Nothobranchius furzeri: one gene and its partners. The protein of the gene in region 1 interacts with the protein of each later gene in a pairwise test. Links are inferred from orthologs where the notes say so. Each region holds a gene or a part of one and is shown in the gene's direction. Other genes may lie near its edges.

Region 1 (6,109 bases):
AGGTCACATTCCACAAATGCCACCGAGAAGCTGCTTGGATCCGGACCTGCTCCGAGGCCTGCGGCCGACCCGGGGAGCCTCTGCCAGGAAGTCTCAAGCATGGATCTGAGCCTGAACCCTGTAGTGGGGGTCAAGGGAGGTGAGCTGGGCTCAGGAAGGACATTCCCAACATTCCTCTTGTCTTTGAGGTTTGGTAGAGTAAACGAGACGGATCAGGAGGTGTGGAAAGCCTGATAAGCGCTGACGGGAAGAGGAGAAGGCTAACGGGGTCATATTAAACGTTTGGGCTTATTTATCATGGAAGAACTTTCCAAACGGCGTTTTGGTGCGGGAGTTTAGGGCGGGGGTGGCGTTGGTACCCGAATCCCTCAGCGCTGTTCTCTCTGCAGCTCCGAGTTCCCGTTGGCGAACGGGATTCCTGCGTCGGGTACGGTGAAACGAGGAGGGGCGTGTCCAAAAAGATCAGCCTCACATGCTGCGGGGTCGCTCGGGGACGAGGAATGAGCCGAGCGGTGGGAGAGTCTGACGGGCTGTTTCTGTTCTCTGCTGTGATTGGACAGGTGGTGGTCCCGACCAGAGCGGGACAGTCCTACGCCTTCGGCCCCGGACAGCACAACCAGCAGGACCTGTACGACGTGCCGCCCAGCAGGTCTCAGGGGGTAGGTGTCCCCTCCTGATGCGTTCTCCACCTGATCAGGAGGAGGAGGTCCTGTTGTGACCCCGGTGTTCTGACCCAAACCCGCAGCCAGAGAAAATCTGTAGTTCCCTCCTGAACTCCAGGCTTGGCTCAAAAACCTGGAAACTCAGCCTTTAGGCATCAGATGACTTTTATTATTTATTCCTAAATATTCCATCTTTTTGCTGTTTGAAGCTGCTGAACTCTGTTTTTAATCCTTTTCTAAAAGCATCTCTTCTGTTTCAGACGTACGACGTTCCGCCAGGTCACATGTTCCTGAGTCAGCCGGGCGGAGCCAGGAACCAGGGAGTCTACGACGTTCCCCCGTCTCAAGTGGAGCCCAGAACACAAGGCGTTTACGACGTGCCCCCGTCCTCGCAGGGGGTAAGAGCGCAGCCCCCGAGCCTTTTACTGTCGGTAGTAAATGAGTCGGTGACGTTTATGAGATTCCTGCGGCTCCTCTGAGCGAGCGCCTCGGCAGCCAGTAGAGTTCCCAGAGCTGTGGCTTTGTGTTTAAACTTCATCTGTCAAAAGGTTTCTATTTCCAGAAGCTCTTAGATTTCATCAGAACCGCCGAGGCGGTTTGTTAGTAATAACATGAAACACGCTCAGACCCGCTCTTACTCCTAATTACAGCTGGCTGCTCCCGTCTCGCTGTTCCAGATGGAAATCACTTACAGCCCACAGCCTAATTCCCCCCGCTGAGCTCCCAGGATGCTTTGAGGCAGAGCGGTCGGGTTGCAGCAGGGTCAGAGCTTCGCCACAGTCGGGAACGTTTTAAACGCGTCGCTTTTTCCCGAGTAGCCGGGAAGCTGCTGCTGCTCAAGCTAAATCCAGGCTGGAAAACTGGGAAGTGGTGTGGGAGCTCTGCGGGACCATCCGTAAGTCTGGAGCAGACTCGGATGACTTCAGGATAAAATCCTGAAATCCCGTTCCGTGCCCGTTTGAGGTTCGGGAAGGAGATCGGACCGGCAGAGTCTGTTTCCTGTTGATCAGAATCTCTAATCATCTTGTTGTCCACAGATCTACGCGGTGCCCAGCTGCAGGACCAACGCAGCCCTCCAGGAGGGGAACTACGACTTCCCACAGCCCCTCAAACACAAACAGGAAGGGATCTATGACGTCCCGCCCCCTTCCCTCACCAAGCCCACCCCCAACCATCAGTCTCCTTACGATTTCCCCCCCAGCCTCGGGCCTGCCGCCCTCCGCCAAAACCCGAACCCCGACCGGAGCGAAGGCATTTACGATGTTCCTCCGACGGCTCTCCTTTCGGTTCTGGACCCCCAGCAGGACGTTTACGACTTCCCCCGGGGCGTGCCGGCCCCCCAGCTCAAAAACTCTGCCACTGACGGAAGCAAGGGAATCTACGACGTTCCAGTCCAGGAAGCTCGCGCGGTAGCGGACGTGACAGACAACGTGAACCGCCTGTCCTTTTCCAGCACCGGCAGCACGCGCAGCAGCATGTCCACGTCCTCGTCTTCAGCCGGGTCCAGCTCCGAGGGACGCCTGGTTCTGGACGTGGACGCTGCTGTGCAGAAGTTGTACCGCCTGCAGCAGGCGCTGGACCTCTCTGTCGGGGCGCTGCATTCAATGACAGCTTCCCCTCACTGGAGGACATTCCCGTTCATGGAGCGCCAGGCCAACGACGTCCGTGCGGTGCTGGATCGGGTCCGGGCCACCGTGGTGGACTTTACTACATTCTGCAGAGGAGCCGCGGCCAACGCCACGTCTCTGTCGGACTCCAGCCTGCACAGTAAGCTCCGACGGCAGCTGGGACGCCTGGAGGACTCTCAGCAGATCCTCCTGCAGACCTATCACGCTCTGGAGATTTCCAGCTGGGCTCAGAAGGCCCTGGCCTCATCCCGACCGCACCACCACAAGAGCGACGACCTGGACCGCTTCGTCATGGTGTCCAGGACAGTTCCAGACGATGCCAAGCAGCTGACTTCCACCATATCTGGGAACGCTGAGCTGCTGTTCCGACGGACGCACGCGGACGGGTCGCTCTCTAGCGGAAGCACGCCTGAGGAGAACGACAACTACGGCGGCCGGACCAAGGCCTTCCCCGCCCCCCCGGGCCAGGACAAAGACAGCATGAACAACAGTGAGAAGTGTGTGAAGAGCTGGATGGAGGACTACGATTACGTCCACCTGCAGGTCAGAACCTTTTACGGGTTTAACCGTTTAACTGTAGAGTTTTAGGTAAACGGGTCAAACAGAAAACACCACCTCTGATAACCTAAAGTGTAAAGTATAAGCGCCTTGCTCCGCAGCCGTGGGACCGGCTCATCTCATCCTGTTCCCGTTTCTTCCCAGGGGAAAGAAGACTTTGAGCGTCAGCAGAAGGAGCTGCTGGAGAAGGAAAACATCATCAAGCAGAACCCGGCTCAGCTGGGCCAGGAGCAGGTGAGACGGGAGAACTGGGTGTGGATAAGGAGGAAGGTTTAAGAGAATCAGAACCTGGGAGATGTTTGGGACGGGCTTTAGTTCTGGTTCTGGTGGAGAATAACCAGACCTCTGGTTGCTTCACAGATCAATCAGTTCAAGAAGCTGGAGCAGGAAGTGATCCAACCCGTGGAGAACGACATCCCCCAGTGGATCAGCGCGTCTCCGTCGGACCCGTCCTCCGTCCACGTCTTCTCTCGGGACCGCCAGCTGCTCGCCTTCTATTCGGCCCAGTGCGAGCAGCACTTCGTCACCCTCCTCAGCGCCGTGGACGCCTTCTTCGGCTGCGTCAGCGCCGGCCAGCCGCCCCGCATCTTCGTCGCCCACAGCAAGTTTGTCATCCTCAGCGCCCACAAGCTGGTCTTCATCGGGGACACGCTGTCCCGGCAGGCCGCCGCCCCCGAGCTGGCCAACAGGGTCATGAACTCCAGCAACGTTCTGTGTGACCTGCTGAAGACGGTGGTCACCGCCACCAAAACGGCCGCTCTGCACTACCCCAACACGGCCGCCATCCAGGAGATGGTGGACCGGGTCACGGACCTGTCGCACCACGCGCGGCAGTTCAAGGAGCAGCTGCTGCAGATGGCCTCGTCGTGATGTTCCTCCTGGCTGCGTGTGTAAATATCAGCTGTTTCCTGTAGATAGTTTTGTATTATGGTCTGTAGGTGCAGTCGTGGTGTCTCCGTAGAACTTTGTGGACTTTTCAGAACATTCCTGTTGTGTCTGAAGCACCTTATGAGCTGTAGATGTTGTTGTTTGTGGAGCTCGTCTCAGAGTAAACAACTAATCTGAACACGGGTCAGACTCGTCTTACTGACACAAGTTTTCAAACTACCAACCTTTCCTGAAAAGCAACCGGAGCCCGTTTGGCCCGGCTCTGTTCAGAACCCCTCGGCCGTTTAGATTTTCCTTCCATAAACAAGATTTTTGAACACCAGTTTCTGTCTGGGCCTGACTGGGTCGATCAGAACCGAGCCTTTAGAACCTGCAGCAGGTTTTCAGGAACCATCAGACTCTGTGGTTTTGTCTGAACGGGGGTTGAGTAAGTGAAGTGGACCGGTACCAAGGGCTCAGCAGACAGGTAGTAGCTCAGAACCAGAACCCAAGGTTCTGCCGAGTCATTTCCTCCTCTCGCCACAGACTGGTTCTGGAATTACAGCTCAGTTCCTCCAGAAGCTGCAGATGGAAACGCAGCGGTCCGGATGTGAGGGACGCGTGGCTTCGCCGGTACCACAACAGCCGGGCCTCGGCCCGCTTTGAGGTGGCTTCCATCCGGGCCTGCACGTGTGTCCAAGGCGAGACGGATGAAAGCAGGAGACTCTGAAGTTTCATCCAAACGCATCGACAACGATTCGCTATATAAAAATATTTCACTGGTCTCCTCCCGGTCCTGGTACCGGCAGGTTCTGGTACCAGCACATAAAACACTTCATTTATTTTTCTAAAGGTTTCAGCACCATAATTCCTGAAGTGTTCATTTTACAGAGCAGCTAAAACATAAAGAGTGATAAACAAACCAAATGTAAAAACTAAAAGATCCGCAGAGTTTGAATCTAGACTTTAAAATCTGCAGGTAGAGAAAAGTTGAGTCCAATAAAGACCAAAAAAACACGAAGGACGTGTTTGGATGAACAAAGGTAAGCATTATACTACCTAAATATTACCTTAGTAGTATTACTTTTACATTACTGTTGTTAAACATATCAGAACTGGTATTTCCCCAAAGGAACTAGAAAACTGCAAACAGGAAGTGTTTTCTCTGCGGCTGTGAAAGGCATTAGTCAAAAGCTGAACAGAAACATTAATAAATGAATTTTTCCATTTTTACATTAAAATAAACTTTTATATTGATGAAAGGTTTTAGCTTACCCTACAAACAAAGCCTGTCTTGTTTTCATCTCTGACCTTTGACCTGAAGTCAGGCCGTTTTCTGTCAGTGCGTTGCTGCCCCCTGCTGGTGGCTCTGGGAAAGACAAGATTACAGATTTAAATCCACCAAACATTCAGTAAAAACGGCCCAGACAAAAGTATTTCCCTAAGTGAAAAGATTCATAAAGATTAATTAAACACCCTAATATATAATAAAATATATTTTCAAATGAGATAAAGCAGGTTCCTCTGGGTCTCAGGATGCATTTTATTCACATTTATTTTTGTTGTTGGGCAAATTTTTATTTATTTTGATGTACAAATATAAATGGTAATGAAAAACGCATGCAGACAGTTTAACTTTTTTTTACTTTTATGTCTTAAATAATACATTTCTTAAAATAGTTTTATAGGAATAATAAATACATTTAAATATACTTTTAAATATATGTGAATTAGAAATGATCCAAAGTGACCAGCAGATGTTTTTTTCCACATTTATCTTTTTTTTTTACTTTAAAGCACAAAATCAAAATTCTTATTTTATTTTCAAGGCCTGCTGCTTTGTTTAGTGTGTGTGTGTGTGTGTGTGTGTGTGTGTGTGTGTACTTCAAAACTCTTAGAAGAATTTAGGTTAAGTTCACACAAATTGAAGCTTTTCAACACTATTTATTAGAAATTTTTTTAAAACCCTCTGCTGGTCTCACTTTTGGCCATTTCTTTACGCCTATATAGAATGTTAGCGTGATCTCGAAGGTGTGGCGTGAGAGCCTGTGAAGAGGGTAAAGTGCAATTGTAAGTCGCTTTGGACAAAAGTGTCTGCTAAATACATAAACATAAACATAAAGTGCGTGTTTCTCACGCTCATTGCGTGAGAATTGGCAGCCCTGAGTCCATCTGAGGAAAATTCTAGCTCCGCACCTGGCAGTTTGAGCGCGAAAATTCACCGTTTTCGCTAGACAACTAGCTTTAGCCGTAGCACAATGGATTCTTACAAACATCTAACAACAACTCTGTTGCTTTACCTGTGACAGGTGAACGTAGACGGTCTCTTTCGGACCGTACCGCCACGTTCAGCTCCAAGCAACTCATTAAAAAAGGACCGTCTTCATTGTGTAG
Region 2 (6,109 bases), on another chromosome or scaffold:
AAGTGAACACGAAAGAGGGAAATCAGTGGATCCTGAGGAAGGTGGAATAGGTGGGGAGAACAGAATAGAGAGAGTGGTGAAGAAGGTCATACAAAAGCCATCTTGAACAAGTGAGTCTTCAGCTGCTTTTTAAAGGAGACCATTGAGTCCACTGATCTCAGGCTCAGGGGGAGAGAGTTCCAGAGTCTGGGGGCCACAGCCCCCCAGACTCTGGAACTCCACTTAACTCTGTAATGATTAAGTGGATAAAATGTCTTAATAGCGTCCTAGTCAGAGTCGCGCACCACTGTGTATTTCATACTACGTGGTTTCTGTCACAGATTTAATCCTGCAGGAAATTTAGGGGCTTTTAACATTTAGTCCCTTTAGCATAAATGAACTCTCCAAGACCTTCCCATGCTGTGTTCCTGTGCTGTTAAGGTGCAGAGCTGAATAGAACACAGAAATAGGCCACAGTCTGTATTCCCATGGTGTCTTAAGACAACATGCATTAATCACAGCATACTCACATTAATTCGTAACACATTTTAGTACGTACCAATGTCTGGTGGAAAGATGTTAATTCAGGAACTCTTTGAGCTCAGGAAGGCCTTCGATGGTTGACACATTTTCTGTATGCGATCCCATCGGCCATATTCTTTATGTTTAGTTGGATCATGACGGTAATAAAAGATCCCCTGCTGGCTCAAACCTATCCAGCAGAGTTGAGTCAGCTTTATTAAGCATTTCTTTGTGGTGTACGCGGACATAAAGTGAAACTGAGGGTCTGTCTAAGCTCGGTGTCATATAGTTGGACAGCGCTGCGTACCCTTGCTCATACTTCTCAGCGTTTGAAAGGGGATGTCTGTTGGCCATTTGCTGTAAGTTTTGATTAGAAAAAGATTTGTCTCTCACGCCCACTCCTGTCCACTTGGCCAGCTGTACAAAGATTAAAAAGAAGTCAGGCATTGTATTTCTCATTTTGGCTCTTTTCTGTCTTTTTTGCACTCAGTTATTTGTAATTCATGACTAAGCACCCGTGTCTACTTGTAGATTTAGTGAAATTACATCTCCTTTTTGAGAAAATACCCAGTGAAACCTACATAAGAATGACTTTTCCTCCACTTTTCCCCCTTTTTTGCATTTGGTCTCTAAACAAAGGCGTTTTTATTCTTTGTTACCTATGTTTCCTCTTGGAAGTCTGTGTGTGCAGTTACATGCAGATTTGGTCTGACACTGAAGTATGTAGAGTCAGGAGGAGCAGAGCTGGTTGACTTTTGGGTGACTCATTCTGCCTGTCTTAAAAAAAAGGAGCACCTGTCTTGCTTGTCTGTGCAGGACCCATCAGGTGCAAAAGGGCCGCCGTATAGTGTCATCCCAATACCATCAGATAACCCTCCCATCTCATTTTCTGTCCTCGGGTTGTACAGGTTGTAGCTGGGTTGCTAACTGAAATAAAACGAGCTGTCAAGTGGCTCTCGCCCTCCGAACAATTTATAAAGTTGGTTAGACAGCCACAAAGTACACCTGTACATGCGAGGAGAGGGGTAGACACAGTCAGGACCTGTGTTAACTTGCCAGTAGGAGTGGAGAAGTAAACAGAATCCAGACAGTGGTCACAGTCTTTTTTTTTTTCTTCTTAAAAAAGTATGTGTGATTACAGAAGAAGCAACTCTGTTAAAAATAAATTGCTCTGCTTTTAGTTTGGCGGCTAAATTGTGTCTAGCTTTTGTATCTTGGAGACCAGAAAACATTGGCTTTAGATCTCTGTTTTTGTATTTGATGGTAAGGCAGTTCGATTAGAGATAAAAACCATGATCAGCATTCTTTTGGTTGATGTGTACCGCGAGGAACACGCGTATTTGAATACCTGGCCCTCAAAGACCTGTTACTCTGCCTTAAAAAGTCCACCTCTACTCCCCTTACTAATCTAAATTAGTAGCACTTGTCTGACCTTGCTGAAGATACCTGTCCACTCCGCTGTCAGACTCCACCTACTATCAAGGGCAAGACCCAAGAGCTGTCAAAAGACACCAGAAACAAAATTGTGGACCTTCACAGGGCTACGGGGCGAATGCTAAACAGCTTGGTGAAAACGGATCTGTTGGAGCAATTGTTAGAAAATGGAAGAGGATAAAGGCGGGATATCACTGATAAGAATAGTAAAATCAGCCCCGAACTACATGGGAGGAGCTGGTCTATAACATGAAGAGAGCTGGGACCACAGTTTCTAATGTCTGTTAGTTGAACAGTATGCCATCATGGTTTAAAATCATGCATTGCACAGAAGGTTCCCCTGCTCAAGTCATCACATGTCCAGGCTCGTCTGAAGTTTGCCAGTGACCATCTTGATGATCCAGAGGAGGCATGAGAAAAGTCATGTGGTCAGATGAGACTAAAAAAATAACTTGTTGGAATAAACCCCACTAGCTGTGTTTGGAGGAAAAAGAAGGATGAGTCACAGCCATCCCTACTGTAAAGCACGGAGGTGGAAACATAATGTTTTGAGGGTGCTTTTAAGCCAAGGGGACAAGACGACTGCACTATATTGAGAAGATGAATGGGGCACTTGTGTATTGTGAGATTTTCCGTCCTTCCCTCAGTCAGAGCATTGAAGATAGGTCGTGGCTGGGTCTTCCAACCTGACGATGACACACAGCCAGGATTCCCAAAGAGCGGCTTCAAAAGAAGCGTATCAAGGTTCTGGAGTGGCCCAGCCAGTCTCCATACCAGACCTAAATCCAGTAGAAGATCTTTGGAAGGAGCTAAAACTGTGTTGCTCAGCGACGGCCCAAAACCTGACAGATCTAGAGAAGATCTATGTGGAGGAGTGGGCCACAATCCCTGTAGCAGTGTCTGCAAACCTGGTCAAGACCTACAGGAAACGTTTGACCTCTGCAATGCAAACAAAAGCTTCTGTACCAAATATTAACAATGATTTTCTCAGGTGTTCAAATACTTATGTGCAGCAGTGCAATACAAAAAAACTCTTAAAAACATTCAATGTGATTTCCTGATTTAAAAAAAATATGTTGTCCCTCACAGTGGGAATGTGTCTACAATGTGAATTTCAGACGCCTCTATGGTTTCTTAATAGGTTTGCTATTCAAATACTTATGTTCCTCTGTAAATTGTGACTATTAAAGAAAATGAGTCAGCTGAAACACTGGTGAACGCTACAGTGTGGCTTATCAAAATAAAAGCATCAACATACTCCGCGTGGTAGGGTACACTAGACTATTTTATTTTCCTTGTTCATTTGAATAAAGTTTTCCATCCAAATATTGCATCATTTGAATTCATAACTTTATTTATATAGACTTTGATCATCTATACTCTGATTTGACTGATTATGTAACGCTTGAAACATCCAGAGTTCACATTTTAACGTCAACAGTTTGTGGATATAAATGTTCTCGTCTGATAATATTTTGTCTGTAATTTTCTGTGTCCATCAGGCCACTTGTTTCACAAATTTGGCATTTCGGAGTCGGACTGGTATCGCATCAAACAAAGCATCGACTCAAAGTGTCGCACCGCCTGGAGACGTAAGCAACGTGGCCAGAGTCTGGCAGTCAAGAGCTTCTCCAAGCGCACACCCCGCAGTTCCACTGCAGGTAAAGAGCAGGTGTGGAGTTATGTATGATTAGCTACACTATCACATAGACGGTGATGGCATGTATTGATGTGTTTAAAGGAGAAAGTTGTGAGATCTAATTAAAAAAGCCTTTCTACCTGCTTCATCCACACGTTACAGCTCTACTCGCTTTGAGCGTTCTTAGTTTTAAAAAGGCAGAATATAATTTATGCTTATAAAATCCATTAATCTTGTGCTGTCAGTTTATGCAGTTGGCACAGTCACAGGCAGTGAACTCAAAGTCATCTTATTTTATCAGCTATATGAAAGCTATTATGCAGTCTGACCCTCCAGATATCAAGAAGTCTGGTGCTTCAAATGTTTACTATCCACACACGACGCCCTTCTGCTCCTTTCCTGTGAGTTATCACCTCTCACCTCTGACCAGGGAAGCTTTGCACTGCAGGGGAAACCCAAATATCCTGTGAGGGGGAAACACTTGGGGTAGATTGTCAGGCCTTTCCTTTTCTGACCACGCACGCCCCACAGCGCACAGCGGTAACACTTTATAATAACTACATCTTATTTAGCCTTAATTACACATGAACAAACGTAAGTAACTACTAACAAATAATTAATTAACTAACAATGACTCTTACTTAATAAACAATTAACCAATGCATTAATTAATGCTTTATTTTTAACGATTAGTCCCTTTTAAAAGCTGTTTACTCATTTCTTATTCATATGTAACAAACCATTAACAAAATTCTTTTAAGCAACTGACTAACACATTAATTAATGCTTAACTTCTAATGACTAGTTTCATGTAAAAGCTGTTTATTTATGGCTTATTCATAATTAACAAATCATGAACAGAGTTCTTATTAATCCATTTTTTGGTAACACTTTATAATAACTACATCTTATTTAGCCTTAATTACACATGAACAAACATGTAAGTAACTACTATCAAATAATTAATTAACAATGACTCTTACTTAATAAAAACAAAGCATTAATTAATGCATTGCTTAATTGTTTATTAAGTAAGAGTCATTGTTAATTAATTATTTGTTAGTAGTTACTTACATGCGTGTTCATGTGTAATTAAGACTAAATAAGATGTAGTTATTATAAAGTGTTACCCGCACAGCACAAATGCTTGTTCAGATGCATCCATCAGCATGCAGCACACATGCACAAGACCAAACAGCAATTCTGTCTTTAATCAAATTACGTGTCAAATGAACAGGGAAAAGGCACCTCTTTTTAAAAATCCTAACTAATTTGCATCACTTAGAGTTCAAACAAACTCTTTAGCCTCCGAAAGCCACCTGGCAATTCCTGCTTCATCTGGTGATTGGAAGTACGGAGAATTATTTATATAATACAGTACACAGCGGTGTCAGTGACAGATGGAAGACAGCTTTGTTTTGTAAAGTTGTGTATGTGATGCGTTATCGCAGATTAGTTTAATGTAAACAAAACTGGATTCTTTTGTCATGCTGGAAGGATACTGGCTGCTTTCACGAGCAGCGTTGATTTATTTTCTCCTTAATCGCCTTTTTGTTTTTTTTGTTGTTCTTTGTGAACTCCTTGTCCTCGCCAGCAGATGAAAACATGAACGAGGAACCTGCACACATTGAGACGGCTACCCAGCAGACTTTGCATTACACACTGGCCAATCAGCAGGTTCAGTTCCACCGCATTGGTGAAGATGGACAAGTTCAGGTGGTGAGCGACGTTTTAGTTTTCTGTTTCTCTGGTAAACAAAACAGGCTTTCTTGACCTTTATGTTGCTCTACGAGTCACTAAAATGACTCGTATTTCTGTTATTATTTGGCATGAATTTTCCCCCCAGTGCCTGTAATTCTGAGTAATTTTTTATCTTCGTCTCAGATTCCACAGGGACAGCTGCACATTGCCCAGGTGCCCCAAGGGGAGGAGGTGCAGATCACACAGGACAGTGAGGCAAGTGTTTGTGTGTGCATGTGTGACAGAAGTTGAGACACAGTTGACCGGTTTCCCCTCCCGATGGATTTAATTTCTCAGTAAATGCCTCACTCAGAGACATTTGTTTCCAAACAGGGAATAACTGTTGCAGCTCATTCATGCTTGAGAGGTTGGCAGGGCATTCAATCACTGATATCTTCCATCTTTTGGGAATGCCAGTTTGTAAGTGGTTGGCAATTTAGTTACAGTGTGGTAACACTGACAATCATTGTTTTGCTTAATGGTTTAAATTATCCACAAAAGTCGTGCAAGCATGCTTTTGCTGGCTTTGTCTTTAAAGAAGGAAATTAGTTTTCATTTTGTGGAAGTGCAGCAATATATTTCGTTCATTGGCGATTAAATTAAGATTTCTCATCATCAGCTTTATTCATAAATCACTTTTCAATAATATGAGGAATATCCAAAGTGTTTTACAGTACACATGGAAAAATACTGCATAATTAAAAGTGCAAGTTAAAATACATTCGCCAAAACACACAATACTGAAAACAGCAGCGGCTAGTGTGAAATTAGCATAAAAGCTAACAAGTAAAAATG
Region 3 (6,109 bases), on another chromosome or scaffold:
TATTGATTCTTTTTGACGTTACAAAATTCATTTATTGTTTACTCTTGACAGTAAGCAATCTAAGCTGAGGGATAAATAAAGACACAAATTGTGTTTTCAAGGTCAGATAAAAAAACTAATCAGTCAGCATTTAGAGGAAAATAAAGGCTGCAACATTTGCAGAATAACCTTGAAGATTTCTCAAGAAATTGGAAATAAATGAGAGAATTACAGATCAAATACTCCATTAGATGAGAAATGTCTATTTAATCTCCACAGACATTTAATCAGACTCAGAAATGAACTGATTTAAGTGACGATTCACACAAAGATTTTACAACAAGAAGCAGATTGTTGTTGTTTAGGCTTCAGTGTGTCATGTTTTCAATTCCAACCCTGTTTAGAGAAGTTTTTATCAAACTCAATAAAACCCAAAACAGAAATGAAAGAAAGAAAAACATCCAACTAAATTTTTATTAATTCCTTCCCGGTAAAGACATTCAAATATTTCTTCATCTTCGTCAAAAGTACAAATGACCATTTTTTTAATAAAAACTAGGTTTGTGCTTTAAATAGAAAAGTTTTCACGAGTTTAATTGCAGTGAACTCCTAGAATTAATAAAATTTGAATGCTTAATACTTTAAAACATGGCAGACTAATTCTGTGTTGTTTTATGATGATCACAAGCAGAAGACAGCAATGAGACACCATCGTCTGAGGAGGACTCTGATCTTGTGGAACTAAACTCAGACCTGAACATCAAAGAGAGCGTCGGTTCCTCTAGAAAGACCATCAGTCAGATCATCAAGGACAAGAAGAAACAAACCCAGCTCACGCTGCAGTGGTGAGAGCCCCAGCTTCAGGCTGTTGGTATGAACCTGCTGTAGGGTTAGGGTTGAGTGTGTGTGTGTGTGTGTGTGTGTGTGTGTGTGTGTGTGTGTGTGTGTGTGTGTGTGTGTGTGTGTGTGTGTGTGTGTGTGAACAGGCTTGAGGAGAACTACATCGTGTGTGAAGGAGTGTGTCTCCCGCGGTGCATTCTCTATGCTCACTACCTGGACTTCTGTGGGAAAGAGAATCTAGAGCCGGCCTGTGCTGCTACCTTTGGAAAGGTGCTTTCTGTTTATTATGATTCAAACTGTAAACCTTTATTGATACATATAATTAAGCTGTCACTATTACTGAAACTTTATCCCTGCTGTCCTCATCAGACAATCCGGCAGAAGTTTCCTCTTTTAACAACAAGACGACTCGGCACCAGAGGACACTCCAAGTAGAAATATTACAATAAAATTAAGCAAGATTTATTTATTTACAGTCTGATCTTTATTCCACACCTTATTTCACAGATATCATTATTATGGAATTGGCATCAAAGAGAGCAGTGCTTATTACCACTCTGTGTATTCTGGTAAAGGGTTGACCAGGTATTGTAAGACTAGATCATTTAGAGCTGAAGCTTTTCTCCTCAATATAAGTCTTTAATTTGAAGTCTTCTTTGTTTCTGTTGTAGATTTTCAGGAAGTAAGCTGAAGAATGAGGTAATTATCCCTCAATTTCACATTTTATTATTTAATATAAGACTTAAATTAGTTTTAAGCTCTCAGCTTTATTAGTTTTAGTGTACAATCCAGGTTTTACAGTTTTTAGGACGTTTTTAGCATCTTTCTGCTCATCTAATCTGAATTCAAATATCTTTGTTACTTACAGAGTGGGATTAAAGATAAATCCTTTAAATTGAACTCACTGAAATACTTTTTAAAAGAAAAGTCTTACGTTTGGCCTTTTTCCAAAACCATATACAAATATATCAAAAGCCAGAAACATTTCTGACTTCTACAAGTCAGGACCTAAAGTGTGCACAGGACATCAAATTACTTCCTCATTCCTGGTGTTTATTTTCTCTTTAGAATTTGTTAAAACTTCCCCTAACTAGACGTGGACAGAATTGTTGGTACCCCTCAGTCAATAAAAGAAAAACCCACAATGGTCACAGAAATAGCTTGAATCTGACAAAAATAATAAATAAAAATTCTATGAAATTTAACCAATGAAAGTCAGACATTGCTTTTCAACCACGCTTCAACAGAATTATTAAAAAAATACCGTAAGGTCATGGAATGGGCCTGGACAAAAATGATGGCACCCCTAAGTTAATATAGTGCTGCACAACCTTTTGAGGCAATCAAATGATTCCTGTAACTGCCAATGACACTTCTGCACCTCTCAGCAGGTATTTTGGCCCACTCCTTCTGAGCAAACTGCTCCAGTTCCTGTGACCATTGTGGGCTCTTCCTTCATTGACTGAAGGGCACCAACAGTTTTGTCCACATCTGTATTTCAGATTAGTAGGTTCTAATAGACGTTAAAGAACACGGATTGTTTTTGAATATTTAGTAAGTGTATACCAAAAGGATATAACTTTATTAATTTTCTTTCTTAGAAATGAACAGTTTTTAAAATTTTTATTTTCCAGTCCCCCTAAATTAAACAGGTTTTACTTGAGCTTCAAATGTGTCAACTTTAGGGGATGTGGGATCCCAGGGCTCAGCCGGTGATTGGGTTCTGGGCGGCAGTTTGGGTTCAGAGCAAACCAAATATGTCTGCTGCCTGTTGCGTTCTGCAGGGCGGCTTCACGAGGAAATACTCCCTGAGCTCTAAAACAGGAACATTACTCCCAGACTTCCCAAACGCCCAGCATCTCCTACTGCAGGGAAACATCTCCAGAGAAAAGGTTCCTGATCAAATATCATCACGTTAATGTAACCTTTGAATTGTTTTCTGTTGACAAACAAAAACTCTGGGTGTCAGGATTGTAGCCGCCTTTTTTTATTCCTCACAGGTGGACACACTGATCATGATGTATAAAACACACTGCCAGTGCATCCTGGACAACGCTATTAATGTCAGCTTTGAAGAGGTGGCTATTTGCATCTAGTAGCAGTATTTTATGTACTATTTAAACTTTTTTAATTCAGCTGTTTTGTCTTCAGATCCAGAATTTTCTGCTCCATTTCTGGCAGGGGATGCCCGACCACCTGCTGCCGCTGCTTGAAAACCCGGTTATCGTCGACATCTTCTGCGTCTGTGACTCCATTCTCTACAAGGTTGGGCAGAAATTACTTTTACATGTGTGTTCAAATGTTTTGTGCTAATTCATTAAACGAGGGACTGCAGGGTTTCGGCAGAGTCTTAAAGTCTTACAGTTTTTTTTAAGCTTTCAAAAACTATGTTAAATCTTACATTTAAACATTGGTACTTTCTTTTGTAATTAATGAATAATCTGTGTGCTTATTTTTCAGGTTTTAACAGATGTTTTGATTCCCGCCACGATGCAAGAGATGCCCGACAGGTTCGCTTTTCTATTTCTTTAAAATACAAATTCAAGCTGATTTCATGCTTCAGTGATAAATGAGATGAAATCAGAGGATTACTAAGTTCGGTGATGTTGTTTATCAGTCTGTTAGCAGATATTAGAAACTTTGCCAAACACTGGGAGCACTGGTTAGCCTCTTCCCTGGAAAACCTCCCAGAAAGCCTTGCAGCTAAGAAGCTCCCTATTGCACGTGGCTTTGTTTCCTCCCTGAAGAGACAGACTTCCTTCTTGCACCTGGCTCAGGTAACAAACATGACGGTGTGGCGTCAGATCTCAGAGTCAGTCTTGACCTCTGCGTGGTTTCAGATAGCACGCCCGGCGCTGTTCGACCAGACCGTGGTGACCAGCATGGTGATGGATATCGACAAGGTGGATCTGAACAGCATCACCTCACAGCCTCTGCTCAGCGTATCGGCCGCTGGAGGCCAGGAGTCTGATATTTACTCCGAGTGTAAGAATGAACTCATTTTCATGTTTACTGAGAATAATGCTGTCACATGCCAAGCATTTAAATCCTTCAATGGTTTCACTTTCTCTTCTATTGAATGATAAAAATATGTCAAAGAAATAAAATATTTAAGGGTCCCCCTGCCCCACAGGCTGTTGCGATTGTTAAAAACTTAACATTTTTAGCAGTTTTTGTCTGTTTTATTTGTTATTGGTTGTATTCAGCATCCTGAATATCAGTATTAGTACCTTCATCAGAAAGCTCAATTCCCGTTAGCCGTCACACACTGGTGACATTTTTGGACCCATTCCTTGGGGGAGTGGTGAGCTGCAGCTGTGGCCGTGCTTGGGAACTAGTTGGTGGTTTAACCCCCCCCCCCCCCCCCCCCCCAATCCAACCCCTTAGTGCTGAATGTCAAGCAGGGAGGCATTGAGTCCCATTTTTTAAGACTTGAACCCATGATCCCCTAGTCTCAGGGCGGACACTCTACCACTAGGCCACTCAGCTGCCATATTTAATCCTGTACATGTTAGATTTTCATTATCAGTTTTAAAAACTATATTTGATTTGTATTATTATTTAATATTCAAGTCTTTAAAGCAGTGGTCTCCAATCCTGGTCCGAGAGATCCACTACCCAGCATGTTTTAGTTGTTTCCCTGCTACACTTGATTGAATGGTTCAGTCACCTGTTCAGCAGTTCATCAAGCTCTGCAGAAGCCTGTCAACAATCTGAATAATTAATATCAGGTGTGTTAGAGCAGAGAAACCTCAAAAACATGCTGGATAGTGGCCCTCCGGGACCACGACTGGACACCCAGATTTTTAAAGCCACGTGTGATTTATGCTGGAAGTGTCTTCAAGATTAAATTTAAAGTTGAGTAAGTTTTCAAACCAGAACAAAATCACAAAACGGCAAAAAATTGATTGAGTCATTTTTTAAACCTTGTTTTTGAAAATAACCAAAACTCCTTTTTTTTCAGTAATACATTTTTCCTCTTGTCACTTTGTGATTTTTATTTAGCATGAAACCACATTTGTGTTCGAATATTGGATTCCTGAAATGGTGTGATGCTAACATTTAACATTTAAAAATATTTTTTGTTCAAAATTTGTAAATGTATTTCTTTTTTTAACAAATTTATTTTAATGATTGTCTATAGCAAAATGTTGTTTGGTGCTGTTTCATGTTTTCTGAAATTATCATCCCATTCAAGTTTTGTTTTATTATGAATATCATTCATTTTCTCAGTGATTTTTGACTGTAAAAAGATCTGAAGGTTGATATAACAATGTCCTGAGAGCATCCCACAAAAGTACTTATTTATAGTGTTTTCTTCCAAATTAAATTATTTTCCTGATGTCATTTTCTGTCTTTTTTTCCAGATGATTCTGTCACTGTCTTTCAGGAACTGAAGGAGCTGCTGAGGAAAAACGCCACAGTTGAGTCGTTCATCGAGTGGTTGGACTCGGTGGTAGAGCACAAAGTCATCAAGGTAACAGCTGTTCACTTGTGTGTATGTGTGTGTGTGTGTGTGTGTGTGGGGTGGGGGTGGGGGGTGGTTTGGGGGGCTTGTATTTGTACCCTTGTGAAGACTGGATTTGGGATATTTACTAACCTTCTTATGACCGATGGTCCTTGTTAGGACCAAAACTCGGTCCTAATGCAGAGTTCTCCCTTGGGGTGAGGTTTACAGATAAGATGTGAATTGAGTTTTTGTTACAGATAACTTTAGGAATACACTGGTTAGGGTAAGGGTTACAGTTAGGGTAAGGGTTTGGGTTAGGCATAGTGGATTCACTAAAATGAATGGAAGTCAATACAAAGTCCTAACATAGGTACAAATACAAGAATGTGTGTGTGTGTGTGTGTGTGTGTGTGTGTGTGTGTGTGTGTGTGTGTGTGTGTGTGTGTGTGTGTGTGTGTGTGTGTGTGTGTGTGTGTGTGTGTGTGTGTATGATGAGCTGCTATTGTGTCTCCTTCAGCCTGGTAAGCAGAGTGGTCGACCTCTGAAGAAGCGAGCTCAGGACTTCCTCTTGAGGTGGAGCTTCTTCGGTGCCAGAGTGATGCACAACCTCACGCTGAACAACGCCTCCAGCTTTGGTAAGGAAACGTCTACACTCTGACTATAATACCTTTACTGATACAGTTCCTTGAATATTTCATCAGTGGTTGACCCAGTATATTTCCACTTTTCAGGAAAACTATTTCCTGCAAAAATACTTTCCTCTACCCTCTCCTTATTCTCCTCTTTCTACCAATTCCACCTTTCCCAGGATTCACCGATGACCTCTTTCTTATTCATTTT

Evidence for each region. The genes of interacting proteins can lie anywhere in the genome.
Region 2: the proteins of nedd9 (region 1) and banp interact in binary tests that used the Homo sapiens proteins (3 or more experiments, as listed by UniProt). The two-hybrid records come from large-scale screens. The link is inferred for Nothobranchius furzeri from reciprocal best matches to the Homo sapiens genes NEDD9 and BANP.
Region 3: the proteins of nedd9 (region 1) and rfx6 interact in binary tests that used the Homo sapiens proteins (3 or more experiments, as listed by UniProt). The two-hybrid records come from large-scale screens. The link is inferred for Nothobranchius furzeri from reciprocal best matches to the Homo sapiens genes NEDD9 and RFX6.

What each region holds. Positions count from the first base shown.
Region 1 is NC_091759.1:25,491,275-25,497,383, forward strand, and holds part of nedd9 (enhancer of filamentation 1), read left to right. Parts: intron 1-560; coding exon 561-659; intron 660-922; coding exon 923-1,060; intron 1,061-1,699; coding exon 1,700-2,833; intron 2,834-2,992; coding exon 2,993-3,082; intron 3,083-3,208; coding exon 3,209-3,718; 3' UTR 3,719-6,109. UniProt on the Homo sapiens protein: Scaffolding protein which plays a central coordinating role for tyrosine-kinase-based signaling related to cell adhesion. As a focal adhesion protein, plays a role in embryonic fibroblast migration.
Region 2 is NC_091744.1:74,154,917-74,161,025, reverse strand, and holds part of banp (protein BANP), read left to right. Parts: intron 1-3,437; coding exon 3,438-3,596; intron 3,597-5,168; coding exon 5,169-5,293; intron 5,294-5,458; coding exon 5,459-5,530; intron 5,531-6,109. UniProt on the Homo sapiens protein: Controls V(D)J recombination during T-cell development by repressing T-cell receptor (TCR) beta enhancer function. Binds to scaffold/matrix attachment region beta (S/MARbeta), an ATC-rich DNA sequence located upstream of the TCR beta enhancer.
Region 3 is NC_091742.1:9,789,021-9,795,129, reverse strand, and holds part of rfx6 (DNA-binding protein RFX6), read left to right. Parts: intron 1-670; coding exon 671-824; intron 825-965; coding exon 966-1,089; intron 1,090-1,188; coding exon 1,189-1,250; intron 1,251-1,326; coding exon 1,327-1,404; intron 1,405-1,490; coding exon 1,491-1,518; intron 1,519-2,603; coding exon 2,604-2,711; intron 2,712-2,819; coding exon 2,820-2,897; intron 2,898-2,970; coding exon 2,971-3,084; intron 3,085-3,279; coding exon 3,280-3,329; intron 3,330-3,436; coding exon 3,437-3,596; intron 3,597-3,659; coding exon 3,660-3,804; intron 3,805-5,186; coding exon 5,187-5,296; intron 5,297-5,786; coding exon 5,787-5,904; intron 5,905-6,109. UniProt on the Homo sapiens protein: Transcription factor required to direct islet cell differentiation during endocrine pancreas development. Specifically required for the differentiation of 4 of the 5 islet cell types and for the production of insulin.